Danio rerio: one gene and its partner. Each later gene encodes a partner of the first gene's protein in a complex. Links are inferred from orthologs where the notes say so. Each region holds a gene or a part of one and is shown on either strand. Other genes may lie near its edges.

Evidence for each region.
Region 2: the proteins of dbf4 (region 1) and cdc7 are in contact, whole or in part, in a crystal structure (PDB 6YA8), measured with the Homo sapiens proteins. The link is inferred for Danio rerio from reciprocal best matches to the Homo sapiens genes DBF4 and CDC7. Residues at the interface, in NP_006707.1 of Homo sapiens: Thr210, Arg211, Thr212, Gly213, Arg214, Leu215, Lys217, Pro218, Phe219, Val220, Lys221, Val222, Glu223, Asp224, Met225, Ser226, Gln227, Leu228, Tyr229, Arg230, Pro231, Phe232, Tyr233, Leu234, Leu236, Met239, Pro240, Ile242, Asn243, Tyr244; in NP_001127891.1 of Homo sapiens: Asn56, Val57, Phe58, Ala77, Gln78, Leu79, Gln80, Ile87, Ile93, Pro94, Thr95, Ser96, His97, Pro98, Ile99, Arg100, Ile101, Ala102, Leu105, Gln106, Thr109, Lys121, Tyr122, Cys123, Phe124, Arg125, Asn127, Asp128, Val130, Leu143.

What each region holds. Positions count from the first base shown.
Region 1 is NC_133191.1:47,573,767-47,578,224, forward strand, and holds the start of dbf4 (protein DBF4 homolog A), read left to right. Parts: upstream 1-1,394; 5' UTR 1,395-1,646; coding exon 1,647-1,683; intron 1,684-1,877; coding exon 1,878-2,038; intron 2,039-4,458. Other genes in the region: mitochondrial glutathione transporter SLC25A40, read right to left, coding at 707-806. UniProt on the Homo sapiens protein: Regulatory subunit for CDC7 which activates its kinase activity thereby playing a central role in DNA replication and cell proliferation. Required for progression of S phase.
Region 2 is NC_133177.1:11,288,274-11,290,846, forward strand, and holds the end of cdc7 (cell division cycle 7-related protein kinase), read right to left. Parts: intron 1,481-2,573; coding exon 1,331-1,480; intron 1,254-1,330; coding exon 913-1,253; 3' UTR 674-912; downstream 1-673. UniProt on the Homo sapiens protein: Kinase involved in initiation of DNA replication. Phosphorylates critical substrates that regulate the G1/S phase transition and initiation of DNA replication, such as MCM proteins and CLASPIN.

The DNA of each region.
Region 1 (4,458 bases):
ATTCATCAAGGACACAGTAAATTGATCAAATGTGATTAAAGTTTGAGACATTTCTAAATGAAACAAAAGATTTTGTTTTTAAATAAAAATGTTTTTACTATTCACTAGAGAGTCCTGAAATGTAAAATCCATCATGGTTTCCACAAAAATATAAAGACTAGTAATAATAACAATTATTAATGATTGAGCACCAATAATAATTTATCTTAACAAAGCAGCAAATCAGCATCTTAGAATAATTTCCTAAGAATAATTTCACATAGCCATTCTTGAAAATCCAGCATTGAATCAGAGAAATAAATCACATTATCAAATACAGTATAATAGAAAAAAAGTTATCTAAATTTGAAATAATATTTCACGATAGTACTGTTCACCAAATAAATGCAGTCATGCTAAGTTTTTAATTTTAAAACATTAACCAATCCAAATGTTCTCAAATGTTTGACTAGTACTATATATAAATGCATAATTTTGGTATCTATTTAGTAACAACGTGTTAAAGTACAATATTGTGTATGGTACAGTATTTTATGCTACATTTAAAAGAAAAACGCACAATGTAAATGATGAATGTATCTACATTTACTGACTCTAACAAAATACGGTAATAAAATAGCATACAACTCAGCTTTTTTTTAAAAAAAAACATAAAAGGTATACATCTATATATTTATCCATACATAACAAATGTGCAGTCTCTTACCCAAGAGTGATGTAATAATTGCCCCGGAGCAGGACGCCATCATCTGCTGGAAGGGTGTAATGTCCCCCGGGGGACCTGGAGAACTTTCCTGACAGCTCATCTCAAAGCCTGCGATCGAGAGGGAAAAAAACAGATGAATCTGCATTCACAAACTTCATTAACCTCAGTCTTCAATGAGTGACAGCCAAAACTAAACCTTGCCTTGATCATGTATAATCAGCCCTTATTGCATTGACAGTTTCCAGTGTATCATTACAACTGACAACTGCTGAGATTTAAAAAATGATGTAAATAGCATACGCTATGTAACCCCGAAAGAAAAAAAGCAATGTCATCAATGCTATCCAAAAAAAAATTACGAATTCACGTGAATCGTCATGACTTTCACGCTTATTCACCAGTGTGCGCCATTGCGCTTACCAAATATGCCATGTGTTTATCCAACTGTGTGTTTCGCACTGGCAGATTCGTTACTTCCGGATATTTAAATTTTGCCGTTGAACTAAACAGACGTTCGTCGACATGAAAGCGCATCGAAGTTATAGTTTGCATATTTCATAGTAGTTTTAAAATAAACATTCTACATAAAATTCAGAGTATTTATACAAGTGTAGTTAACGGTAAACATTAACATTTTGAGGTGAAGTTTTTTTAAAAACGTCAAAACATATTCGTCGAATCTCTCTTCACGAACGTCAAGATTACTCAGGTTTTGTGGGAGTGGAGAGAAGTCCCCTCGAGCGGGAAAATGGAAACAGCCTGCGTTGAGTGTTTGTTATGTTGATATTTACAAACAGCGGATGCATTTAATGCAGTGTTGTGTTTTTGTGTTGTCTTTTAATCAACCAACACTTCGAAGTAATGTTGCTGCATGTTGGCGGTTTAAAAAGCAGGTTTAGCCGAGTTTAGGGCTGTAACCGTTACAACCAAAATCTCCATTATGAAACACGACTCTTTCTCCAGGTTTAAGGACCGAGGTGCTGTGAAGCTCTTTAAACTTATTGTTGACTAATGATATGTGTCGTTCTGATTATTTTGTAACAATAGTCTCTCATAATAATGATGTTTTGAGAAACGTGCATGCTGTTGTTTATTGCGTAACGTAACTTATCGATGTGCGTGTTTTGAACTTCGGCTTTTAACCGTTCAGTTGTGATGTTCATCTTCACAGACCCCAAGCTGGAAGGACACAACTGTGCATCATCTAAAAGCAGAATTAAATCAACATGTGATCTTCAGAACAAGCCATTTAAAGGCAGAATATTTTACTTGGATCTTCCTTGGAATATGAAAACCCAGCTGCTGGAAAATGACATCAAGACACTTGGTGGTGTAAGTGCTCATAATTGTTATTTTCACATCCAGGATAATTATTTGTAGACAATTGTTTATTAGTTTATCAACAAACGTAGATCAGCCATGCATTGTAATATATATGCAAATATGCTCCTCTTAATATTAGACAACGCTTATTCTGTCCTATACTTTTAATAAGTCATCATTCAGTATGGATGTTTCCCAGTACTGGGTTGCAGCTGGAAGGCCAAGTGCTGCATAAAACATATGATGAATAAGTTGGTGGTTCATTCTGCTTTGGTGACCCCAGATTAATAAAGGGACTAAGCCAAAAAGAAAATGAATTTATCATTCAGTTTTATTGTGACTTGAATTTGTACAATTTTGGCAAAGTTTTTTTGCTTGTTTAAATTTATAATTACAATTAATTAGTAATATTTGCCTCCACTTGGTGATTCTTGTTTAAATTTATAATAATAATAATAATAATAATACATGTTTAATCTTGCCTATTTAAAAAATATTTTGAAATCTGTTTATTTAAAACAGTGCACGTCTTAATAATTAATTATGGCTTATATTATTTTTGTGTGTGTCTGTCTGTGTGTGTGTGTGTGTGTGTGTGTGTGTGTGTGTGTGTGTGTGTGTGTGTGTGTGTGTGTGTGTGTGTGTGTTTTTTTTTGTATTTTTCTGTAGTTCTGTTCTATGTTGTCTGTCTTAACCAGGACTTCCTGGTAGAAGAGATATTGTATCTCAATGAGACTTTGATTAAATAAATAAAATAATGTATGAAACTTATTGTACAGGGTGTCTGCAGGGTTTTAAAAAGTATAACAAGTTGATAAATCAATGCAAAGAAATTAAAGGCCCTAAAAAGTATTTAAAAAAATATTTAAATGCTATTTTTAAGATATTTAATTTAATATAATTTTTGATTATCCAATGTATGGTTGTATACTTAAGTTGGGCTAAAACAAATCTGTGAATATCAGGATGCTGTGTAGTTAATAAAATCAATAAAATCCTGCTATATTTGACATAAATGCTGCTTTGTTTACTGCGGCAACCAAATAAAGACCATTATTTCTTGAGTTCTATAGGCGCCAACCTGCTGAATTAGCTAGATTTATTTGATTTTTATTCAGTATTTAAATAATGTTTTAGTTTTGGATTAGTTTCTTTTGTTAATATTTAGTAAATATTCTGTAAGTTAAAATCTCACAAGTGCTTCCGGTTGATACCTAAAGTGTTTATAATATATGGAAGGAGTCTTTAAAAGGTCTTAAAAGGTGTTGAATTTAACTCTCTGATTTCTGTTTACTCTGTTGTAACACTGAAAAACATTTAACTCGTTGCCTCCTGCAAATAATGGTTAAATCAAATTATAGACTCCTTGATATTGTACTTGTTAATTGAAATAATAAATATAAATAATAAAAAAATGTATATTTTTTGTTTAAGTTAAATAATATAATAACACAGTAATATACATCAAATAGGCATGGGCCGGTATAAGATTATGGCGGTATGATAACCTTGGATAAAAATATCACAGTTTCACTGTATTGTGATTACTGCTCTAAAATGTTATTTTTAAATGTCTGTGTAAAAAACCTTTTTCCCCCTTTAAACACAATAAATTTTATTTTGAGAAACATTTAAAACAGTTTGCAACAGTAAACATTTTAGGCTGAGTAATTAAAATGAATCTTTGACTTCTGCTGTTTTCATTTATTTAAAAACAGATTTCATATCTTTTCTGCTGGAGATGCTGTTGTCCTAAAAAAAAGTTTAATAAACAAATCTTACATAAAACATAGGAACAGTATAGCAGAATAATTTGGCGGTTTTAAAACCTTGACTTTTCAAAACCGCGGTATACCTTGAAAACGGTTATACCATGCCTAAAATCAAATAATAGACTCTTTAATATTGTACTTGTTACTTCTACTTTAAACCACACTACAGTTTCTGCTTTATTTAAACAGATGTTTTGTCTGAGAACTGATGAGTAGGCCCATATGGAATCTATGCGCGCAGACTTTTAGCCCATCATTGAGTCTACTTATTTACTTGTGTAAATATGTGTAAATTTTAATCTATTCAGTTTTTAAATTAATTTCCGTAATAATATTGACAAATGAAAGTGTTTCTTTGATTTATTCAAAATACAATTTGTTCAGTAATATTTTCTGTCTTTTAGTAAAGATATTATATGATAGTCTTGCTTTGTTTACTGAATAAGTGGATCAAGATGGTTTTGCGTTGAAAATTTTTAATAAAAGTTAAAGTTTATATATATATATATCTATATATCTATATATACATATATATATTTATATATATATATATATATATATATATATATATATATATATATATATATATATATATATATATATATATATATATATATATATATATATATATCTTAAGTTTTTAGTTATACAAAATGA
Region 2 (2,573 bases), on another chromosome or scaffold:
GTGTGGTCAAAATTTTTTGTAGTTTAATTTTTTACTTATTTTGCTTATAACGGACTTTTATTTTGAAATGCGTGCGCGACAACCCTACCGTTTGACATGTGAAATTTCATTTAATTATTGCAACAAATATGTTGAAGCGCAAGTACGACCCCAAATATGTAAAGTATGGATATATATATTGACGACAAAAAAGACTTAAAGCCTCAGTGTCATATGTAGTGAGGTGCTCTCATAAGAGAGCATGCAACCTTCTATGTTAAAACAACACTCAGAAACCAGAAAACATGTTTTATTAAGAGTTTATTATTTACAGTATTTGTCGTTTTTACTTTGTAATATTTCTATAATTTGCACCATTTTGTTAAATGACAGCAATAAAATATAGTTTATTTGTAAGTCTTGGTGAATTTCTTATGATCTATCGGTCACTGCTTGTTTATGTTAACAAACAAATACAAATTAAGTATAATTCCTAAAATTGTATTATAGCTCCAAAAAATTTGGGTCGCGGCTTAATGACCATGTAAAAAATGTGGGTCTCATGGCCAAACCAGTTGAGAACCCCTGATTTAGAGGACCACAAGCACCCGATGGTTAAAAAATTGTATCATATATATTATGAGTAATTAATATATTTTTTGCTAAATATTGAACACATGAAACAGTCTGTCACTTTCCAAAATATTCACAATTTATTTTATCTACAAAATACTTGAACACTGAATATTTGAGTAAACCATCCAATTAGGAAACCCTCTAAAGTTGAACAACGGACAATTCAAACTTTATTATCAAAATGAAACTCTCCAAAATATAAAAATAAATACATCACTGTACAACATGTTGTTAGCAAATAAACACATTCAAAAAACACTTTACAGAATAACTCAAAATCGTGGATGCGCACAATCACTACTCACTCATATCTTTGAAGAGTGGATGCTGCAGTGCCGTCGAGGCTGTGATCCTGGTAGCGGGGTTTAAATCTAACAGTTTATCGAGTAGATCGTACACCTCATCCGGCACTCTGTCCCAGCCGATCTCCTTCAGCTCTGCACTGCTTCTACACAAACGGGAGCCTGTGCTTTTCAGTGCAGGACTCTCCGCTTCCTCCTTTTCTTCTGCTGGATTATGTGAGGCTTGAAACTCAGCAGGAAGAGAGGCATCATCCCACGATCGCAAACCTCTCAGAGTCTCGCAGAGAATCCTGAGGTCCAGCCGAGGAAGCTCACGGCTGCACACTATGGATTTACCTGCAATCAGACACACATCGAGTCAGCAGGACATACGAGAATACAACATCATCCAGACTCTTAAGATAATGACTTACCAAAGGTCTTTGCAGCCTCTATAGTCTCTTTAGACCCTCGGATGGTCATGATCTGAGTAAGAGCGATCAGATCGTCATTGGCTTTGAAGAAAGGATATCTGCCACTTAGTAGAGACAACAGTATGACCCCTGCTGACCACATGTCAATCGCTGCAAAGAGATGGGCTTTTATTAGTCATTATACAATACATGGTTCATATTTTTGCAAAAATAAACTTCAACCACCGACTTTTCACAGCCTCATCTTTGGGTAGTAACACTAACTTCCCCTCACACTTCAGAGGACAGCGTCTACACGACTTGATTCAAGCGGGATTTGCTACAGTGTTTGGCATCACGCAGACACTGCTAAAGACTCGTTACAGTGGTGATTCATTTGAACCATTATGAGTCGACTGTATATTTCACTTCACTTAGAGCTGTTACACACTACATGGAAGGTCATTTTCAAAAACCCATAATAGACAAGGCAAGGCAAGGCAAACTTTATTTATAGAGCACAATTTAACACAACCGTAGTTGATCCAAAGTGCTTTACAATAAAATAAACTAGACAATAAAACTAAAAATAACTGGTATTAAAAATACAATAAAATATATTTAAAAGTAATACTAAAATATAAATAATACAAAAATAACATGCAAGCATCAGTCAAAGGCAAGAGAGTAAAAATGTGTCTTTAAGTTAGATTTAAAAGCATCCAAAGAAGGAGAGATTCTGATATTCAGAGGGAGACTATTCCAGAGCCTTGGGGCCGCAACACTGAAAGCACGATCACTCTTTGACTTGCAGCGAGACCGAGGGACAGACAAAAAAAACTGATCATGTGATCTTAAGAATCTGCGAGCTGTATATGGCCTAATAAGCTCGCTGACATAGGCCGGGGCAGAATTGTGCAAAGCTTTATAAGTGAAAAGAAGAATTTTAAAATCAACCCTGTATTTTATAGGTAGCCAGTGCAATGAGGCAAGGACAGGGGAGATATGCTCTCTTTTCCTAGTTCCTGTTATTAATCTGGCGGCTGCATTTTGGACCAACTGTAGCCGAGAGAGTGTTGACTGAGGTAGGCCAATATACAAAGAATTGCAGTAGTCTAAACGAGAGGAGATTAAAGCATGGGTTACGATTTCTAAATCTTTTTTAGAAAGAAAGCGTTTAACTTTTGCCACCAATCTAAGCTGAAAGAAACTGCTCTTCACAACTGCATTTACATGTTTGTCAAACTGCAAGAGTGGATCAAAG